Linked DNA regions of Notamacropus eugenii. The protein of the gene in region 2 interacts with the protein of the main gene of each other region in a biochemical or structural test. Links are inferred from orthologs where the notes say so. Each region holds a gene or a part of one and is shown on either strand. Other genes may lie near its edges.

What was found.
Region 1: the proteins of MMP2 (region 2) and TIMP4 form a complex in vitro, tested with the Homo sapiens proteins (2 studies listed by BioGRID). The link is inferred for Notamacropus eugenii from reciprocal best matches to the Homo sapiens genes MMP2 and TIMP4.

The regions. Positions count from the first base shown.
Region 1 is NC_092874.1:432,872,285-432,883,613, reverse strand, and holds the start of TIMP4 (metalloproteinase inhibitor 4), read right to left. Parts: upstream 5,362-11,329; 5' UTR 4,835-5,361; coding exon 4,702-4,834; intron 1-4,701. UniProt on the Homo sapiens protein: Complexes with metalloproteinases (such as collagenases) and irreversibly inactivates them by binding to their catalytic zinc cofactor. Known to act on MMP-1, MMP-2, MMP-3, MMP-7 and MMP-9.
Region 2 is NC_092872.1:471,440,807-471,452,135, reverse strand, and holds the start of MMP2 (72 kDa type IV collagenase), read right to left. Parts: upstream 6,593-11,329; 5' UTR 6,311-6,592; coding exon 6,158-6,310; intron 1-6,157.

The DNA.
Region 1 (11,329 bases), on a different chromosome or scaffold from region 2:
CAACTTGACTTGAGTTGACCTAAGAGTCAACACAAAATAATAGAAAAAATGATGGAATTGAAGGCAAAAACATGGGTTCAGATTCTACCTATGTGACCCTGAGCAAGTCACTTAATCTGTTTCCTCATCTCTAAAATGACCACGTGAATTCTACAGTCCCTTCCAGTTCTAAAAATATGACCCTAGGGAGGTGGTGGCAGCTAGATAGTGCGGTGAGTAGAGCACTGGGCCCGGAATCAGGAAAGCTCATCTTCCTCAGTTCTAATCTGGCCTCAGACACTTTCCAGCTGTGTGACCCTGGGCAAGTCACTTCACCCTGGTTGCCTTAGTTTCCTCATCTATAAAATGAACTGGAGAAGAAAATGACAAACCACTCCAGCATCTTTGCTAAGAAGACCCCCAAATGGGTCAGTCAGACATGACTGAACAACAATAAGAGGTAGGTGCTATTATTATACTCCTTTTACAGATGAGGAAACTGAGGCTCAGAAAAGTTAAGTGGCTTGCTCTGGATCACACAACTATGAAGTGTTAAAAGGCAGATTTGAAATCGTTTTCCACTAATGCCATATTTATTATCCTTAATGATCTCCCTCCTCCACTTCACTAGATCCCTGGTGTTTTGAGTAGATAACCCCCCAAAAAATGCTCCAAACACAGCCCTTCTGAACAGGACTAACTGCTAGTCACAAACAGAGCTGAGGCCACAAAAATGTCCTGTCAGGTCCAGAAAGCCATTACTCAGTATGCAGAAAGGATTCCTCAGGCCATAGAAATGCTAATTGGCGGTAGGGTTGGAAATTCACGTTCTACATTGGCTATGGTAATGAGCAGTTTATAGACACTCTGGCTAGAATGCGGAGCCAGGGAATGGAAGGGACCACAGCATGCCCACTTTTTTTTTTCCCATATCTCTTTGCCTGAAGATTTTGGAGTGATCAGGTCTCAGTTGTGTGGAGGACATTGAAGAAAGAAAGGAAGGCATCCCATTAAAAAGCCTTCTCATCCATGAGTTCTGAAGGTCAGGAGGCTCTAAATAGTCCAGGCAGTGACAGAGTGGGAACTGCAGTAAAACTTTGATTTCTTGGAACCAAACTATGTGAACGGCTCAAAATTAACTAAGTGTTGCTAATTGGGAGGGGTCTGTACCATGCTGGATGGCATCCCTGCTAGCTATTGTCCTATCACTCTTCTCCCTTTTCTGGCCAGACTCCTAGAGAAGGATATCCATAATTAATGTCTCCTCTTCCCTTTTCTCATCCTCCCTTCTTAACTCTCTACAGTCTGGCTTTCTACTTCATCACTCAACTGAAACTGCTCTCTCTAGAATTACCAAGAATCCTCAATCGCCATATCCAATGACTTTTTCTCAGTCTTCATTCATCCTTCCTCAAATCTCTGCAGACTTTGACATCGTAGATCACCCTCCTTCACCTTGATACTCTCTTCTGTCTACATTTTCAAGGCACTCTTCTCTGCTGGTTCTCCTATCTACCTGACCATTTCTTCTCAGTCTCCTTTGCTAGACTTTCATTTGATCGCACCGGTGAACAGTGGATGGAGTGGCCCCCAAGGCTCTGTCCTGAGTTCTCTTCTCTTCTACATCTATAGAGTTTTATTTGGTGATCTCATCTGCTCCCATCATTTCAACTATCAACTCTGCAGGTAATTCTCATATTTATTTGTCCAACATCAACCTCTTTCCTGACCTCTGGTCTCATGTCTCCCACTGCCTTTTGGACATTTTGAATTGGCTATCCCATAGACTTCATACATGTTTAAGATTGAAATGGATTTCCCATAGAACCTCAACATGTTTAGAACTGAAATTATCTTCCCCATCCCCAAATCCTTCACTTTTTCTAATTCTCCTATTTCTATCAAGGTTATCACCATCATCCCAGTCACCTGGGCTCAAAATTTAGGTGTTATTCTCAATCCCTCTTGCTCTCTCACCATTCCCCTCTCTCCCCCAATCAATTGCTAGCCCTGTCATTTCTACCTTGGCAACATTGATCATTATATGCCTCCTTCTCCCTTCTGACACTGCCCCTGCTCTGGTTCAGGACCTCATCACCTTCCACCTAGAATAATGTAATAGCCTACTGGTTGGTTTACCTATCTCAAGTATCTCTTACCCCAGTCCATCTTCCACTTAGCTGTCAAACAGATGTTCCAAAAGTGAAATTCTGATCATCTCATCCCTCCTGGTCAATCACCTTTACTGGCTCCCTATTACCTCCAGTACCAAATATAAAACCCTTTGTTTAAATCCCCTTCCCACTGTTCCAGTCTTTGTGCTCCTTACATATACTCCCTCCCCCACCCCAAGTACTGCCCTTTCTGCTGTTCCTTGAATTACACAAACCATCTCACAACTCTTGCATATTTTCATGTATGTATTTTCATTTGCTGTCCCATGGCTGGAACTTTTTTCCTCCTCATCTCTGCTTCCTAGATTCTGTCAATTCTCATCTAAAATCCCACCTTCTTAGGAAGCCTTTCCTGATCTCCCTTAATACTAGTGCCTTCCCTCTGTTGATTCTCTCTAATTTAACCTGTATACATCTTGTTTTTGCATGTTCTCTCCCCCATTAGACTGTGGGCTCCTTCAGAGTAAGGACTAGTCTCTTTTTTTCTTTGTGTCTCCAACACTCCACATATATGTTTTTTTTAAATGGTTGTAAACTGCTTGTTGACTGACAAAAAAAAATCTACACGGACAAATAATTGTCTATATCTAATAGTAATAAATGTAAAGTGCTACACTCAGGTTTAAAAAGTCAAGCGTCCCAAGTTTCTTATACTTAATATGTATGTGATATTGGCTAAATCACCTCTCTGGGCATCAGTTTTCTCATCTGTAAAATGAGGGAATTGGGACAAACCTCTGAGGTGCCTTCTGGTTCTAAATGCTAAGGGCAGGATGAGGAAACCACACCTAGACAACAATTTATGTGAAAAAGACATGTTTTCAGCTAAAATTCAAGCTGAGTCACATGTACCATCATTGTGCTCTTAGGCTGCTCTGATGGAATCATAATGTCCCGAACAGGGGCTCCTAACCCTTCCTGCTCAGACTATTACCTGGAAATTTGATCTGTTCTGGGTGCCACATTTTAGAAAGAACATCGACAAGTCTGAGGGCATCAGATAAGGAAACTAAAACCCAGGCTACCATGAGACAGAATAAAGGAACGATCTAGCTGAAAGAAGGTAAAACATAGTAAGGGAGCTCTGTTGGTTGTGACATGTAGAAGAGACAGAACTACAATGAAAGTCTCACAGGCAACCTTCCCGTCAAGGATCGCCATTCTAAAGCAAAACAGTCCAGAAGTAGAAAGGAGTAGAGAGTTCTCCATCACTGACTCAATGACTACTCATGAGGGAGGGAAAAGAATGGGTTCTTGTTTAGGAGAACTCTTCAGATTCTAACTTTGTTTGGGTTTTTCCTCTACCTTGGCACTCCACTTCAGAGAGAAAGAGGCCAACCCCAAGAAATCAATCTGGATTCAATGATTTAATTAAAAAAAATAACAGTCTTGCAATGGATGGAATGGGGAAGGTTCTGGAGTCAGTACACATAGGAGATGAGCTGAAAGGAGGTCCCAGAGGTCACCTAGTCCAACTCTTTCATCTTACAAATGAGTAAACTGAGGCCCAGAGAGGCTGTGATTTGTCTACAGCAGGAATTGGACCCTAGGACCTCTTACTCGAATTCTAATTCTCATTCCCTTACCCACCACCAACTCCCGACTTTCTGCATCAGCAGCTATGGGTCCTGGGCTGGAAGAACCCATGTTTAAAATAGTGGCTCTGCTTGATCTTCCAATATTCTCTGCACTTTACTGAACTTTCTTAGGTGAACAAAGGCATGGACAGAGAAGGCAGTGTGGGGGTGTAGTGGAAAGAGCCCCCTACCCCCAAGACAAAAAAAAAAAGACCTCGGTTCTAGTCCCTCCTCCTAGACAAGTGTTGGGACCCTTTCCTGTCCCTGGCCCTCAGTTTCCCCATTTGTAAAAAAAAAGAATTTGTACTAGATCTCTAGATTCCCTTCCAGCTCTAACAAACTGTGATTCCATGCCATGGGTCATTGGGTGCTGTGGAAGACTCTTTGTACGTTCTCTTTGTCCATAAAAACCAGTGACTTTCCACTTGTCACATGTTGCTATAGCAATGAGTCCTCTCCCAATGCCTTCGTTTAAGAGTTAAGAAGGAAGCAGTGTAAGAGTATGAAGGGGAGTTGAGTTTGGTTTTGGAGGAGGGAGAGGGGGTGGGAGGAGACCGCAGTGTTTTCTCCAGATAAAAGCCATTGGGTAAACTCTTATTAATAACCCATATGCAAGCTCTGGAGTCCCCCCGCCCCCACCTCCCCAGTGTAGCTGGGATAGTGCCAACAGCACCAGTCTGGAAGTCAGGAGACCTCCTTTCTAATCCCGCCTCTGCCATTAACTCTCTATGTGACCTCGGACAAATCCCTACTTCTCTTTGGGACCTCCGTTCCCCCAACTGTAAAATGGGGGCGAGGGGTTAGCCTGGAATGATCTTCCCAGCTCTGGCAATCTGTGATCATACAAGCTTATTACCAAAAAGAACGGCCCGTACCCGCTCCAGTCCTACATACAGAGATAGTTTGCAGTGGTGCCAACCAGTCCCGCGAGCCGCCCCCCATCCCGGCCGCCTGCCCCGGGGCGCACTCACCTATCGCCGAGGAACAGAGCAGCTGCTGGGGGTGCGCGGGGGCGCAGCTGCATGCCTCCACCCGGGCCCGGAGCTGTAGGCTGAGCCCCAGCAGCAACCCGGACAGCCACCAGGCACGGAGGGCGGCAAGCATGCTGTCAGCGCCCCCCTGCCCCGGAGCGCACCCCGGGCCGCGCCGCGCCAGGCAGAGGCGAGCGCCCCTCCTGGTCCCGCTGCCCACCCGGGGCTCTCGGGCTGAGGCTGGACTGGGGCTCGGCTGCTGAGGGCGCTGGCTGTAGCGCTGGCACTGCCTATGCCCCTGCTGGCGCTGGCGCTGGCGCTGCCGATGCCGATGCTTCTCCGACGCTGGCGCTGGCCTGGGCACTGGCGCTCCGCCTCCCTCGGCTCCGGACAGCCCCTGGCGACTCTGTTCAGTCCCAGCACCCCCTGATGTTTATCTCCCTGACACGCGACCCTCTTATTTATGGCCCCGACCCCTCGGGGCTAACCCCGCCTTCTGGGCCTCACTCCCAGCCCATCGCTGACAGCCAGAGGCATCTTGTCTCCAAAGAGGGGGTTACCTTACTTGGTTTCGCATAACGGGGTGGCTCTGAGTCAGGAAAACTATTAATAACCCAAGCCTCTGCCCTCCCTCCCTCCCCACTCCCCACCCCCTGCTATGCCCCAGCCACCCTCCGAACTGGGGGAGATGTTTTTGGATTCCAAGGCAGGAAGGGGACCTGGTGTCCCAGGAGCGGTCTGAGCAAAGCTGCCCAGGCCAGAGTGAAGAAAGACTACTTGAAGGGAAGAGAGGATTCCTTCCTTCCCTGGGGAGAGGAGAGGACATTGCGGGAACCCCTCTTCCCCACCCCGCCCTGCAGGCTTCCCCCAAAGGCAGCCAGCCTGCGAGCTGGGCCACAGTGCCCGCCTGCGGTAGGCGACACAGGGCGTCATTCAGCTGCAGGAAGTGTTTTCAATGCCCTATTTGTGAGGCCCCAAACAAACAGCAAACAGAGAGGCAGAGAGGGCTGCCTCTCTCTGAGGGAAAGGCGCCAGCAACAGCGGCGTTTGAATCCCTTTCCCATGCCCAGGGTCCCAGGCTCCGCGGACAGTTGGCATCTGAACTAGCTCCCTTCCTGTGATTTTCCCTGGAGTGGGGGAGGGTGGAACGCTGGGCTTCAGACACCCTGGAACCCAGAGTCTCTCCCTTTCCCTCTGGCTCTCTAACTTTGACCCCTCAACCCTGCTCTGTTGACCTTCCTCCAGCTGCCGCATGTCCTGGGGAGTCGAGGCAAAGGAAGAGGAAGTGAGGATCTGTACCCCACACTGCGGCCATAACCAGATTGCTACAGGATTAGCCAGACCGGAAGAGAAGAGGATGCTTGTGGTTGGCAGGGCTGGTCTAGGGCTTGGCAACCTGTGGTTTGCATGCCCAAGGTGGCACAAAAGATGGGTTATAAGGCCATAGGGGCTGGTGGTGTGGGAGAGATATGAGGAGAGACTTGTTTTGAGCCCTCCTCTTATGACTCCTGACCACCCTAGATCATCAAGATTCCTGGGAACTAAGGCTTCAGAGAATTCTTCTAGGATATCCCTGGATTCATCTCTTCCTCAAATTTGGAGGAATCAGGCAGGCTCCTTCAGCCTCTGTAGCCCCCTTATCCCACATCACCACCACCAAAGAAGTGAATGAATGAACACTTGGCACACTGATTCAAAAAGATTGCTGACTCCTAAACTAGTCTAATGTAAAAAGTGTTGGATTAAGGCAAAGTGGACAGAGGATGAGGGGTGGGCGGAGAATCAAGTTCCCAACCACACATTTAACATTGGACAAGTTGAACCCTCTTTTGGGCAAGATGCCACAGACCTTGGGGCCTAGAATTGTCAATACCATACCTTGTTTTCTTTTTCTTTTTTCTCTCTCTCTCTCTATTTGTTTCCAACATGACTATGTTGGAGATCGATGAAATGAAAAACAGGTACAGGTATTAATTGAAAACAAAGATACAAAAAAAATTATTGGAAACCAAATTTGTGAAAAAAAGAATAATTGAATTTATTTCATTTCTAAAGTATAATTTGGATATTTTTATAAAGTATTTTGATGAGTTTATAAAGTACTACCAAATTCTCTAGAGTTTAATGAAAACAACAACCACAAACAAACAAAATTCACAGATCAGTTATTCCTTAAAAGGCACCTTTAAAATGACTAGGAATTGACCTAAAACTGAGGTTGGCATTTTAAGAACTGTTTTATTAACTTTATTTTTTTTTATTTTTCATTTTTAACACAGTTCATATCACATAAAACAATTCCATCTTTTGGTCAGGTGATACTTCTTGTAAAGCATTTACAACATAGACCACAAACGAATTTTTTTTTTAACATTAACCAACTGAGACACAAATAATAGCTATGTATGCTAACTTCACAAGCCCTTGACCTAATTGTCTCCACAGTATTACTAAGAATTAAAGGACCCTAACTTATTGTTGTTGGTCTAAAGTCCTAAGCCTAATAGCTTAGTTTTAGACTTAACCTCGGACATTCCCCTACCAAGAATTTATAATTTAATAGATCTGGTATTAAGCTTACAAACCTTCTGACTATAGGAAATTGCCACTAAGAGTAGGGACGCTGCAGGGAAACAATATCTCCCCAACTTCATGTCAGTTACAGGCGGGAGTAGATTGTCAACTTGCATTCAGTCAGGCTTAAAGTCTGCCAGGTGTCAGTGAGGAAATTGGGTCAGGAGAATCCTACCTCAGCCCAGGTTGAACAGCCTCTCTCCCACCCTTCCTATGAGATCACCTTTTTCAGTTCATACCAGCATCTCACAGTTTTATTGGCATCATGGACTGGAGGCCCAGACTGCCTTTCTTGCTATCCATATCTGGAATTAGACTCAGAAGAACAGTCAGTTAATAGTCCCATAGCATCTTAAAATAGCAAGTTCCAATAAGCAGGTTTCAGATATGACTATAATTTCATATTGGCTAAGGAACATCTTTTGAGGCAAGTTTTAAGTGGCTTACATGCCTTTCTGTACATGTTCTAGTTCTTGATTAAAAAACAATCATAAAATAAAATTTACCATTAAAACCTTAACTTTTCCATCAATGCCAAATTTTACCCGAGGTTACTTGCCTCTAGGAAATTTAGACTAAAATTCTTTTCCCCCAAGTAAAGATGTCTCTGATTTAATCTCAGTAATTAATTCAGTCAATTGTTTTAATACTAATTGCTTTTACATCACTTTGTAATATGTCCAGTTTTTCTCCCCGTCTCTTCCTTCCCCTACCCCCTAATACCTTGCATTCTGAGTATCCCTTCCCTCAGTGTGCCCTCCCTTGTATCACACCCCTCCCTTCCCTTATCCCCATCTTCTCTCTTTTCTTGTAGGGCAAGAGACATTTCTATACCCCATTACCTGTGTTTCTTATTTCCCGGTTATGTGCAATAATAATGCTCAACATTCATTTCTAATACTTTGAATTCCAACTTCTCTCCCTTTCTCCCTCCCTGTCCATCTCCACTGAGAAGGCAGGCAATTCAATACAGACTAAATATGTGTTGTTTTGCAAAAGACTTCCATAATAATCATGTTGTGTAATACTAACTAAATTGCCCTCTATCCTATTCTATTCCCCCTTATTTTTTTATTCCTTCGTTTGACTTTGTCCCTTCCCAAAGGTGTTTATTTCTAATTACTCCCTTCTCCCATTTGCTCTCCCTTCTATCATTCCCCTCATCCCACTTGTCACCTACTCCCCTACTTTCCTGTAGTGTAAGATAGATTATCATACCAAATATAGTGAGCATGTTATTTCCTCCTTAAGCCATATGTGGAGAGAGTAGTTTCACTTTTCCCCTCTCCCCTTCTCCCTTTTCTCCTCCATTGAAAAAGATTTTTCTTATCTCTTTTATGAGTTATAGCCTACCCCATTTCATTTCTCCCTTTCTCTTCCCAGTATTTTCCTCCCTCTCCCCCTAATTTTTATTTTATATCTTTTTTTTTGTGGATATCTCTTCTTATTCAACACAGTCTGTACTCTGTGCGTGTATGTGTGTGCGCATGTATGTACAATCCCTCCACCTACCCAAATACTGAGAAAAGTCTCAAGAATTATAAATATTTTCTTTCCATGTAGGAATGTAAACAGTTCAGCTTTAGAATGTCTTTTATGATTTCTCTTTCCTGTTTACCTTTTCATGCTTCTCTTGATTCTTGTGTTTGAAAGTCAAATTTTCTCTTCAGTTCTAGTCTTTTCATTGTGAATGCTTGAAAGTCCTCTATATCATAGAATGACCATTTATTCCCTTGAAGTATTATACTCAGTTTTGCTGGGTAGGTGATTCTTGGTTTTAATCCCAGTTCCTTTGACTTCTGGAATGTCCATTCCAAGTCCTTCAATCCCTTAATGTTGAAGCTGCCAGATCCTGTGCTATCCCGATTGTATTTCCACAATACTCAAATTGTTTTTTTTTTCTAGATCCTTGCTTGCAGTATTCTCTCCTTGACCTGGGAACTCTGAAATTTGGCCACAATATTCCTAGGAGTTTCTCTTTTTGGGTCTCTTTCAGGAGGTGATCAGTGAATTCTTTCAATATTTATTTTGCCCTCTGGTTCTAGAATATCAGGACAGTTTTTCTTGATAATTTCATGGAAGATAATGTCTAGGCTCTTTTTTTGATCATGGCTTTCAGATAGTCCCATAATTTTTAAATTGTCTCTCCTGGATCTATTTTCCAGGTCAGTTGTTTTTCAATGAGATGTTTTACATTATCTTCTATTTTTTCAAATTTTTGGTTTTGTTTTTTAAATTCTTGGTTTATCTCATAGTCATTCATTTCCCCAAACTCAATTCTCTCTTCAACAAGCTATTTTGTTCAGTGAGCTTTTGAATCTTCTCCTCCATTTGGCTAATTCTACTTTTTAAAGCCTCCTTCTCCTCATTGGCTTTTTGGACCTCTTTTTCCAATTGAGTTAGCCTCTTTTTAAAGGTGTTATTTTCCTCAGCATTTCTTTGGTTCTCCTTTAGCAAGCTGCTAACTCACTTTTCAAGCTCTTCCATTGCCTGAGCCTAGTTTAAGTTCCCTTTGGAGGCCCTGGAGGCAGAGGCCTTGACTTCCTGTGACAGTATGCCTTGTTCTTCCTCATCTGAAAGGATGGGAGAAGACACCTGTTCACCAAGAAAGTGACCTTCTATGATCTTATTTTTTTTCCATTTTTTGGACATTTTTCCAGCCAGTTACTTGACTTCTGAATCCTTTGTCAAGAGGATGGTCCTATCGTCTCTCCTCTCCCCAGTGCCGTGTTCAAGGCTGAGATTCAACTCAGCTGCTTGATTTCTGGGGGCTTGGGGTGGAGACAGGACCATCACTCAGGGTTGAGGATTAGATCAGCTGCTCCCTATGGACAGAGGCTTTAAACTGAACTGCTTGGACAATGGACCCAGGTTGCTTCCTGGCTGGCCACTGTAGCTGCCTGCAGTCTGCTGCCGTGGTCTCTACCATTTCCTGGGGCTATAGCTGGAGGAACCCATTTCCCTCTCACTCAGCTGGGAAAGCCCTCCTACACTGACCTTTGGAGCTTTCTTTGTCGCTAGTGGGTTGAGAGATCTGGAACCCTCCCTGATGGAAATTCGGAGGTCTGTTCAGATCCTGTTCCTCGCAATGCCTTGTGGCCAGGGATGGGCTCCACTCCATTCATTGTCCCATGAGATAGACCTTTTCTGTCAGCCTTCCAGGTTACCTTTCTCTCTGTTGTTCTGTGGCTTCTTCTACTCTAGAATTTGTTGAGAGTCATTTTTTACAGGTATTTTGTGGGTTGTGGGGGAAGTGCTAGAGTATATGTGTCTTTCTACTCTGCCATCTTGGCTCTGCCCTCCTGATACCTTGTTTTCAATTCAGTGGAGATGCATTATGAACTTCCCAGAACTTTGAACTGATGTAGGCAGCCACTAGTGAAGAATGACTTACAGAAGATAATCTTTGCCAAAGGACACCTTCTCAACTGCCCATCAGGAAAGTCCATTTCATTAGGTAATAGAATCGTAGGATTTAGAACTGAGAAGGACCTTACCAAACATCTGTTTCTAGCACTTTATTACCTTTTCTTTTTCTTTTCTTCCTTCTTTCATTTATCTTTCCTTTTGTTCCTTCTTTCTTCCTTCTTTCTTTATTCAGAGGAAGTAATTGAATTAAAATCTGGGCAAATCACTCAACCCTGTTTGCCTCAGTTTCCTCATCTTTAAATGAGCTGGAGAAAGAAATGGAAAGCCACTCAGTATCTTTTTTTGTGGGTCACAGAGAGTCAGACACAACTGAAAAACAACTAAACAGCATCAAACTGAGGTCCAGAGACCAAGTAGTCACCTGCCCAAAGTCTGGCAAACCCAAAATCAAATCAAGTCTTGTTTCCAAAACCAGCGTTTTTTTTTTCTTTTTAGATGATTATTATTGATTTTTACAAATCTTTAATAGAAAGCCTTAAACACAGAGTCATTCTAAAATAGCCATGCTGCCCAATCTTCCATAGATGAACAGGAAAATTCAGACACCCCTGAGAGGGTAAAACTTAGCAGCCTACACAAGAACTGGTGAATTGGGTGGGCATGGTACAAGGAAAGGGATGCTGAT
Region 2 (11,329 bases):
AACAGCAAAAAAACATTTTTAAAATAAAAAAGGGAAAAAAGAAATGAATGGGAGATGACTTTAGTAATAGTGTAGGATTAACGAATTTTGCTGTTTTCATAAAATGTTACCTAGCCAAAGAGAGTTTTGGGAAGAAAGGTTGAGGCCAAACTATGGAGGAAATTAGATGCCAAGCAAAAGAATGGAGATAGTGGAGGATTACTGAAGATTTCTGAACAGGAAGTATCATGGTATATTTTAAGAAGAACCTTTTGAAGGGAGTATGCAGAATGAGTCAAAGGAAAGTGAAATCAGAAACAAGGAAACCAATTGAGAGATTATTGCTATAACCCAGGTATGAGATCTTATGACTTTGAAGTAGAATGGGTACAGTTGGAATGGAAAGGAAGGAATATGTACAAGAGACATCAGGAAAGAAAACTCAATAGGACTTAATGACTGATTAAATATGAGAGGAAAAGAATGTGTCAAAAACAATTCTGAGTTTTTAAAGCCTAATACCTAAAATGATGGTATCATGACAGAAATCAAGTTAGGAAAGAAGTTAGGAAAGTTTAGGGAAAGATGATGATAAGTTTGATTTAAGGAACAGGCCATCTATTAATCAATAAACATTTTAAAGTACCTGTCATCTCTTAAAATCAATCAGTAAGTATGTTTAAGTGAATAATATGGACACTGTGCCAGATGCTACTAAAGGTACACAAACAAATCAAATAATTCCTGCCATAAAAGAGCTTACATTCTACGAGGAGAGACAATGTATATTAATATGTACAATGTGAGACAATGTGTATAAATATACATTGCAAAAAATGAATGCAAAAAAAAAAAAACTTCAAAGAAGGGAAGGGAGAGTCAAGAAAGGCTTCCTTTCCAAAGAAGGTGGTGCTTAGGTTGAATTCTGAAAGAGAAAAGGGATTTTAAGAGGAGAGTGAGTTCCAGGCATGGGCAGGACATTTAGTGGTGGCTGTTGTCCTTTATTTTTGAAGAGGACCGAAGTGACATCACTATGATAAAGTCAAGTTTCGATGTGTCCAACTGTGACTGGTCAGACCAATATGAGCTTGGAATGCTCTACCACAGATTGGGTACAAATAGTCCATGTGAATATTTAGAGTGTCTACTCAAAATTTGCAAATCCTATGTTTCCTTTGAGCTGTTTCAATTCTGCTTTGCTCATAGAGCACATTACCTTCTCTGATGTGGGCATGCCACGCTGAGTGTTCCTGTGCCAGTGTCTCCCATGTCACATAATCAATTCCAAAGTTCTTGAGAAAGACCTTGAGAGTGTCCTTGTATCACATCTTCTGGCCACCAAGAGTTCGCCTGCCCTGTGTGAGTTCTCCATTAAATAATCTTTTTGGCAAGTGTATAGGCAGGTCATGTAAGAGTAAATGTCTAGTACTCAGTTGCATATTCAGGACAGAAGTTCTGAAGGAGGGTCAAGACTGGAAATGTATATGAAGGTGTAATCTATATAAAACAGAGCCACAAGATAAAGCCACAGCAATAGATGAATTCTCTGAAATCCATTAGAAAAGAGAACTAAGGACATAGCCTTAGGGAATGCCCCTGGCTGGAAGGCTAGAGAAGAAAGAAGGGCCAATAAAGAATGATGTCACTTCCTCTCTTATTCCCAGAGCTCAATTCCCTGTCAAGCTGCTTTCATGACCTCCTACATAGACATGCAGTCTAGAAAATAAATAAATGTTTTCCTTTCAAATGCAAAGATGCTGCTCCTGATCCTCTCATCCATAGGGCAGAGGCTCTGAGTTTTGTTTTTAATAGTGAGAAGAGCTTTGCATTGAGCAATTCATTCTTCTTAGCTTGGTCACAAGTTACAAATTTTTCAAAACAGCTGTTTGGTGTAAAGGATACTGCCAGCAGCCACAGAGCACAGTGATGCTAACTGACCCACCTGAGAACTGAACTCGTGACTATGGTCTCATTATAAAGTTGGCTACAACCACAAAGTTAAGCAACCCCAAACCATCTCATAAACTCAAGCTTATTGCACTCAACTCCTCTTCCATTTGGGAGAAAAATTCCCCCACAAATTCAACCCACATGACTTGGATAAAATTACTCCCCCTTTCTCAACAATTCTACCTACTTTCTCCCTGCCTTTACCCCATCCTGTCTATTCCCTTCAGTTTAGCCTTACTATTCCTTCCAAAGTCTTCTCCAGCTGTTATTTTAACTATGCTTCCCCCATCTTAGGTCCTGCAGTGTTTTCTCATTGACCTCATCAACTCTTGTCTGGTATTTGTATTAGCCTTCATTGATGGCCCTACCTCTGGTATTTCCCGACTCTGGCTCTTCTTTCACAAATTGCTATTCCTACCACACAATTGTGACTTTGTCAGCATTCTTTCATGTAAAAATCTCTAATGATTCCCTATTGCCTCTAACATACAAGATGAACTCTGTAGGCTAGAATTTAAAGCTGTCCAACAGTCTAGCTCCTATCTATATTTTTCCAGTTTTATTTCACATTATCTTCTACTTCATCTTTGCCTCTTAGAATCCCAAGTTTTCTTCAAAACACAACTCAGTTGTTACTTCCCATAGAAGGCTCCTAATCCTCCCAATTGCTGGTACTCTTTCCTTCCTGAAATTGCTTTTTGCATACTTCATAATTATTCCTATGCATGCTATATCACTACCAGCAGAATATAAGCTCTTTGAGAATGAAGACTGATTTTTATGTTTGTATCTCTAAGACCTAAGACCAAAGCATAATGCTTTGGAGGTAGAAGGCATTTAGTAAATACTTATTGATTTGAATTGAATTAAATAATAGGACAATGAGCCTTCATATTGGGGAAAAAATGAGAGGATTAGACCTCATTGGGAATATCATTAGAATCTCATTCATTTTACAGATGAAACTGAGGCTCCAAGAGTTTGCTAGCTGGCCCAAGGTCACCCAACTAGAAAGCTACAGAGAATAGATTCTAAAAGAGGACTTCTAACACCTAGACCTGTGCTCTGCTCTTTCCACTATAGCATACAGGTCTACACCCTACTTTTCATAGCCCCTCACCAAGTTGTCCTGTATTCCTATCTTGCTAAGTTTGATTCTATATCCCAGTATTTGATTTCAATTCAACAAGCTCTTGAATTCTCACTTCCTCAATGAAGCCTTCCTGGACTGATCAGGGAAGCAGTGTGAGATCCTCCATTTAGCCCCCAGTCGAAACTGGGTACAAAACCCACGGGGGTAAGAAGAGGTGAGGAAGTTACTGTCCTGCTGTTGGTGCTTGTTAATCTTTTGGTAGGCAAATTACACATAAGAATTGATCCTAAATGGGATTCCCATATGTCCATTTTTCCTGACACTGACTGATCAACAGAGCACACTTTTCTCTGATCAGTTATTGATATGATACTTTTTTCTCCAGTTGCCTGTATAACAACCACATACCTTCATGTGCCTGAAATGCTCCCTCCTCATCTCTGCCTACTGGTGTCACTGACTTCCTTTAAGTACCTTAATTCTAGTGTTCCTCTCTTTTAATTATCTCCTACTAATCCTACTGATTGTTTGCATATATTTGTTTGCTCCTTGGGTCCTCCCTTAGATTGTGAGCTTAAGGGAAGGAACTGTTCTTTGTTTCTTTCTGTATTCCCAGCCCTTAGCACCGTATATGTTCAATTCTTTGTGACACCATTTGGGGTTTTCTTGGCAAAGACACTTGAATAGTTTGCCATTTCTTTCTCCATCTTATTTGACAGATAAGGAACTGAGGCAAACAGTTGAATTCATGAAGATGAGTCTTTCTGATTTCAAGCCCCTTGCTCTATCCATTGCATCTAGTTTGGCCCATAGCGAGCATTCAATAAATGTTTGTTCACTTAGCGGCTGAATATATATCTGTGTGTCTTAGCTCATAAAGTTCCAGAGAGCATTTCCTGTCTTTAGACTTTTTCATATAGTACTTAGCACAATGTTATACACTATTAAGTAAATAACATTCCTACTACGCTCATTGTTCTCCGTGGGTTATTTCACATCGAATGACATAACATGTAAAATGCTTTGCAAATCTTAAAAGCACTCTACAAATGTTAGCTAGGACATCTATTCAACTAGGCTAGAGACTCTTCAAAAGCAAGGATTAGATCTTTCTTGCTTTGTCTTTTTTTTTTCTTTTTCCATTATTGGATACACATTAGACATTTAATAAGTACTTGCTGAGTTGCAAGGTTATAGTGGAAAGGATATTGGCTCTAGATTCAAAATCCTACCTCTGCTGATCACTTTGTGACCTTGGAAAGTCATTTAACCTCCTTGGGCAAGCCTCAGTTTCCTCATCTGTAAACAGAGAGGTTGGACTAGATTATTTGTGATGGATGTCCCTTCTAGCTCTAAATCTATGACCTTAATTAATCTAATTAAATCTAATCAAACTAAAAACTAATTTACTAATTACTAATTAGTAAAGATGACACCATAAAATATCAGAGCTGAAAAAAACCTTAAAAACTACCTAGATCAACTTTCCTCACTTTCCTATCTCACCCTACCCTTGATACTCTTTTCTTGTTACCTATTATGGTTAGAGTTTTGAGCTATCTCTCTTGATGATCCAAACCCAGCAAGGTGACCCAGAAAAAATGTTGCCTCAGCTGTTTCTGCTTGGGAGAACTCTGCATCTGGTTCTGTTCTTGCCAAGCTCTCTCAAACTGGGGGCTATTCTAAATAATCCAGGATACCAAATTTGTCCTTCCTCTGATATGGTTCAGTGTTCCCCTAACTTTTTTGTCCTTTTGAAATGATGGCTCCATCAACAGATAAAAGAAAGTGCTTAGGATAAGAGGTGGATTAGTCATGGGATTGCAGGATCATATAGTTAGAACTAAAAGGAATTCAGAGGCCATCTAGGCCACAACCCTAATTTTACAGATAAGAAAACTAAACCTAAAGCCTCTACTCTTCTCAGATGACATCTGGAGCACTGTTTTATCTTGGGTATCACATTTAAAGGATACTGACAAATTGAAGAAAGTCCAGAGGACACATCTAGGATGGTGCTAGAGAGGGTCAGTTGAAAGATGTAATGATATTTTAGCATGAAGTCAAGAATACTTGGGTTGGAGCAGTTGGATTTGTTCTGCTTGCTGGTCCCAGATGTGGAACTAGGAACAAATGGGCATACTGTTGCAGAAAGGCAGTTTGGGGCTTGATGAAAGGAAAATCAATTAGAGCAAAGCCAAACTGGAATGGGTGGCTTTGGTGGGTAATGAATGGATTTCCGACCCCTGGATGGCTTCCAACAGAGACTAGAAGACCACTTTTCTGAGATGCTACAGTAGAGATCCTTGTTCCGTACAGGTTGGAATAGGTGGCCTCTGAAAGTCCCTTCAACTCTGGGGATGGGTTTTATTAATTCTTTTAAACAAATTCCAAGGAAAATAGGCCCCGGGGGTCAGGTAGAAGATTTAGATTTAAACATTCCAACATTCCCTCCCCGCTCCCCTAATATGCCCCCCCCCTCCCCAGCAGCTTTCAGAAGAGCCGATTCCAACCGCGGGACTAGCGCTCCAAGACCAAAGTGCTCATTAAAGCCAAGAGGCTCAGCAGTCCCTGAGCCGCACAGTAATTGTCCCTCCAGTTCTGCTTATGCAACGATGTGGTGAATGCACGGAAAACAACATCTGAGCCGCTTCAAGGAGCGGTCCAGGCCCTGGGGGAGGGGTTTTCTGGCCAGTTCAGTTTCCCTGAAATCGTCCGGGGGCTCCCTGCTTCCCCCACCCTTTTGCTCCCCTAGCTGTGTGCCGGCGATCATTAGGAGTTGCAGGAAACCCCAGAGCGCCGCGCGCCTCCATCCCTCCTCCCTTCCTCTCTCCTTCCCCCTATCCTCCTCCTGCCCCTCGCCAGCCTCACTTCTCTAAAGTCCAAGGAAACTTTCTTTGGCAGTGAGCTCTACATCCAAAAGGCTGGCTTTGCCAATTCCTTTCTCTTGGGACACCCTGCCCCTCCCCAATCCAGGCAGACCTCCCACCCTCCAGCTGTCTCCTCTCCCCCTCCCCCTCTTTACCTCCCGGGGAGCTGAGGGAGCCAGCTCCCCCCAGCTGTGTGCAGGACCCCCTCAGCCACCCTCCCCTCCTCCCAACCCCCACCCTGCTGAAGCCCAACCGAGACACTCACTACAGCCAACTCTTTGTCTGTTTTGGGAGAGACATCGCCCGGGAACTTGATGATTGGAGACGGGGCTGCCCAAGTTTGGTGGAAAACGCTGGAGTGGAACCAGAGGGCCGGGAGGAGGAATCCTAGGACCCCGGGGGCCGCTGGAGTCATCATGGTCGTTCCTCAAAGTGTTTGTGCAGTCGCGATCTAAGAGGGGGGCTCTAAGAGTCTCCAGTCCACGTCTCCGCCTTCTTTCTCAACCGCGCATCGTTTCCAGCCCGCACGCTGAGCAGCCACTAGCTAGATCGTTCCCCTCCCCTCTCCTTCCCTCCCTTCTACTCCACTCCGCTCCGCGCAGCCTGCCCTTTTGCTGGTCCCAGCAATTCCTTTGTATGTTTAAACCCCCAGATGCGCAGCCTCCAGCCACCGCAAGAGGAAGTCTAGATCCAGCGGAAACATGGGAAAGGGGCAGTTACCAGATGTGGCCGGCTGGGCTGGGAGTTGGGAGAACAGCAGTCAAATCTGTGGCCTTGGGGGGAGGGAGGAGCGAATTCCCTCCCCTGTCCCTCTCCTACCCGGGTCACTGCCCACCCCTACCACTCCAGCTGGCCGCCCTAGAGTCTTCGTGACCATACCCTTGGGCCCTGCCCGTTAGTTTGCAGTCCAGGTCCCACATGTCTCATGTCTCTCTCCCCCACCCCTCAACATCTGGACTGGTTGACCTTTGTAATCTCTGGTCCAGAAGTTTTGGGTTTTTTTTTTCACTTGACGGCAATTTAGTGATTGATGTTGGGGAGAGTAGAGGGCAAGAAGAGGAGGACTTAGCCTTGGGTGTGGAGAGACTAGGAGAGAGAAATCATCAGATGATCAGGGATGGAGATGGATAATCAGAGAAATGGAGAGACATGGAAAAGAACAATCAAGAATGATGATGGGTGGGAAGGCATGACAATGGAAAAAGATGATGTCAGCTAAAGATGTGGAGAGAAACGAAAAAAGAGACATGGCAAAGTCGTAAATGGCAGCTGGAATGGGACCGGAGTTTGAATCTTCCTCTAGTATTATCTCTGACTCAGTGGTGACCAAAAAACACAGGCAAAAAGCAATAAAATAGCTTACATTTCTGTAGGGCTTTTTGTCATCAGAACAGATGTGGAAGCTCTGGCTCTGGTGGGTAGAGGAGACAAAATGTGGTGTCTTTGGATTTGACTCAGAACCTTGCAAGAGTCACAAACTGCCTCAACTGTGCAGGCAAGAAGTCACTCCCATGAGGTAAATGGTCTCTCTAACCACTCAGATGTTCCACTTCCCTCTTGCCCAGTCTAGGTCCCAAGGCTGAGGCAGACCCAAACAATCCAGGACACCAGGAGCTGGAATCTGGGAAATCTGGCCATACCTCTTAGTAGATACAAAATCAGGGTGAAGGGCCAGACACCCTCCTTCTCACACCATATCTCCTTAGAGTTGCTGAAGGAAGGATTATTATCCCTTAAAGTCCACAGACATAGACACTTAGGATCACAAGATGAAGAAAGACCTTTCAAAGACAGTTAGTACATACAGCTCATTTTACAGAAGATGAGACTGAAGCCCAGAAAGATTCTTACCTTGAAGCTAACAGAACACTGAGATGAATTTTTGTTCTGCCAGTAATTCTAGGAACTTCTAGACCAATAGAGACAGGACTGCTGGTAAGGGTTGAATTGACCACCAATGCTCCAATAGCCCAAAGAAGCACCTTGCTAGAATGGGCAGTGGAAAGTATATATGAAGGGGAGGTAAAGGACAGTGCTTAATGCCTTAACTGGGCATTTAGGATTCTTTCAGTGATATGATCCAGGAGAGGGCAAGCCCTTTGTCAGAGGGATAAACATCTTTGTCCAAGAGGTGGATTTTAGAATCAAAGATAATGGTTGATCTGAGAGTCAGGAACTGGGTTTTCTTTGCTTCAGATTTGAGTTAGTAGGAGGTGGTGAGGGAAAGAGGGTAATCGGTTTTCCTAACTCACCCTAACCCATCCCCAGGTCTCAGACACATCCTTACATCTTCTGCTGAGTTTCTCTATCCATGTGCCACTAGTGCTCCCAAGGGCAACACTCCATCTCCCCTAGAAACTCCTGAAGACAGTTTCCCCATCCCTTAGGATCAGCAAATTCTCTGAGTCCTTTCCTTATAAATATTTTGCCTAAAGTCCTATTGCCAACTACTGCTCACTATTTCCCCACTCCACCAAAGCTATTTCTTGGCTCAGATTCCTGCTCATGTTGTCAGAACAGATGTGGAAGCTGAGGCTTAGGGGGTAGGTAGAGGAGACAGAATTTGGTATCTATGGATTTGACTCAGAACCTTGCAGGAGCCACAAACTGCCTCAACTGTGCAGGCCAAAGTCACTCCCATGAGGTAAATGGTCTCTCTAAGCACCCAGGTGCTGCTGATTATCACTAGCAGAAGTTACTATTATACTTGCTTGGGATCAAACTACAAACTGAGATTTTCTAATCTTTACTGGGTCCTTATCACCATACAACAATCATTTCATTCTTTCTTGATTGGTTCTCTATTTCATTGCCCACAAAAGCAGTTATAAACTTTCTCTTCTCTCCTCAAGCTCTCTACACCACTCCTACTTACCTCCCTCTTAAGTGACCTCATCTATTTTTTTCTTTTAATCTTTTTCATAAATTTAGCAATCATCAAGAACACAAAAGAGAATTGTATATGAAACCTTGAGCTGCCATTATAAACAATTTGTTTTTTAAGGGATATATTAAATTTAACAAGGTAATAATAAACTTGCTTTTGTGTCCCTTTCTGAACATTGTTTATTTTCTTCTGTGTATTTTTCTAATGATTGATTAATATGCTCTTTTCTATTGTTTATGCATGTCTATTACTTCACACTAATTCACTTACCTCCAAAACTCAACCTCTCCCTTGTAGTAAATAAGCATAATTAAGCAAAATATACCCATTTTACTGAGAAAATGGAGGCCATGAGCTTCCACTTGTTACTTACTTGACACCCCAAAACCCAGCTTCATTCTTCCCCTCCTCTCTTCTTTTGCTTTATTCTTTGACCCAGAGTTTACCCTTTTTGCTCTAAGGATTGCTTCTATTTGTGTCCTGTATCTCATGCTATCCAGTCTCCTCTAGAAACTTAACTTTATTTATGCTATCCTTATCTTATCTTAAATTCTCCTTATTTGCTGCCTCCCTTTTTGGATCACTGCCTTGTCATGGAAGAGGGGCTTGCATAACTCAATGAAACTATGAGCTGGCAAGGTTATGCAACATGGATTGGTCATAGTGGAAAGTTCAGACAAAAGGTGATCCACTTACGAAGGAAATGACAAACCACCTCAATATCTTTGCCAAGAAAATCCCATGAGTGGCATTAAAATGATAAAAGATATGACATCAGAAGATGAACCTGTGGGTCTGAAGACATCCAACACCCTACTGAGAAAGAACAGAGGACAACAACAAGGAGCTCCAGAAAGAATGATGTGTATGGGCCAAAGCTGAAAGGAAGCTCAGCTGTGGATGTGTCTTGTGACTTAAGGAAAGTTTAATGTTGCAAAGATCAATATAGCTTAAGAACCCAGAATGTTAAATCTATGAGCCACAGTAAGCCAGATGTACTCAAACAGGAGATGGAAAGTTTAAGCATGAGAATCTTGGGTACCAATGAACCTAAATGGATGGGAATTGGTGAAATTAATTCAAGTGATCATTACATTTACAGCGGTGGACAAGAACTCATTGTTAATAAAAGGGTGAGAAGAGCAGTACTGGGGTATAATTTCTCCCATTCATTATCATTCTTCTATACAACATGACTTCTGTGTAAATATTTAATAGGAACATATGTGTAGAGACCATACATGATTGCATGACATCTTGGGGAAGGAGAGGGAAGAAGAGAGAGAAAATTTAAAACTTATGGAAGTGAAAGTTGAAAACCAAAAATAAATTAATAAATTTGAAAAAAATAAAAATAAATCTCCAAAAAAAGAAAATTCAAGATATCAAGGGAATGTTTCATGCAAAAAAATGGGCATGATAAAAGACAAAAATGGTAAGAAGTTAACAGAAGAAGAAGAGATTAAGAAGGGATGACAAGAACATACAGAAGAACTATTCAAGAAAGATCTTATCGTTGATAACTATGATGGTGTGGTTACTGATCTAGAATCAGACATCTGGAGAATGAAATCAAATAGGCCTTAGAAATTAAAGCTAACAATAAGCTTAGTGAAACGATGGGATTCCAGCTGAGCTATTTAAAATCCTAAAAGATGATGCTGTTAAAGTACTGCATTCAGTATGCAAGCATAGAATACTCAATAGTGGTCACTGGACTGGAAAAGATCAATTTACATTCCAATCCTAAAGAAGGTCATTGCCAAAGAATATTCAAATTACTGAACAATTGCACTCATATCAAATGTCAGGAAGTCTATGCTTAAGATTTTACAAGCAACACTTCAGCAATGTGTGAACCAAGAATTATCAGAACTTCAGGCTGGTTTTTGAAGGGGCAGAGGAACTAGAGATCAAATTACCAACATCACTGGATTATGGAGAAAGTAAGGGAGTTCCAGAAAAACATCTACTTTTGCTTTAATGACTACACTGAAGCCTTTGACTGTGTAAATTACAACAAAATATGGCTACGTCCTCAAAGGGATGGTAGTATCAGCTCATCTTATTTGTCTCCTGAGGAACCTATGTCCAGATCAAGAAGAAACAGAATAAAAAGTGGAATAACTGATTGATTTAAGGTTGGGAAAGGAGTATGACAAGGCTGCATATTGTTACCTTATTTGACTTATACGCAGAGTATATCATGTGAAATTCTAGGCTGGACAAATTAAAAGTTGCTAGGAGAAATACCAACAGTCTCAGATATGTAATTGATACCATTCTGATGACAGAAAGCATAAAAGAATTTAGAAACCTCCTGATGAGGGTGAAAGAGAAGAGTATTAAAGCTGGCTTCAAGCTTAGAATAAAAAAAGATCAAAAATGAAACCTAAGAACATAGCAACTGATTTCATTACTTCTTGGCAAATTAAAGGAGAAAAAATGGAACCAGTGTCAGATTTCATATTCTTGAACCGAAAGATTACTACTGATGGGACTGTAGCCATGAAATTAAAAAATGCTTGCTCCTTGGAAAGAATGTTATGG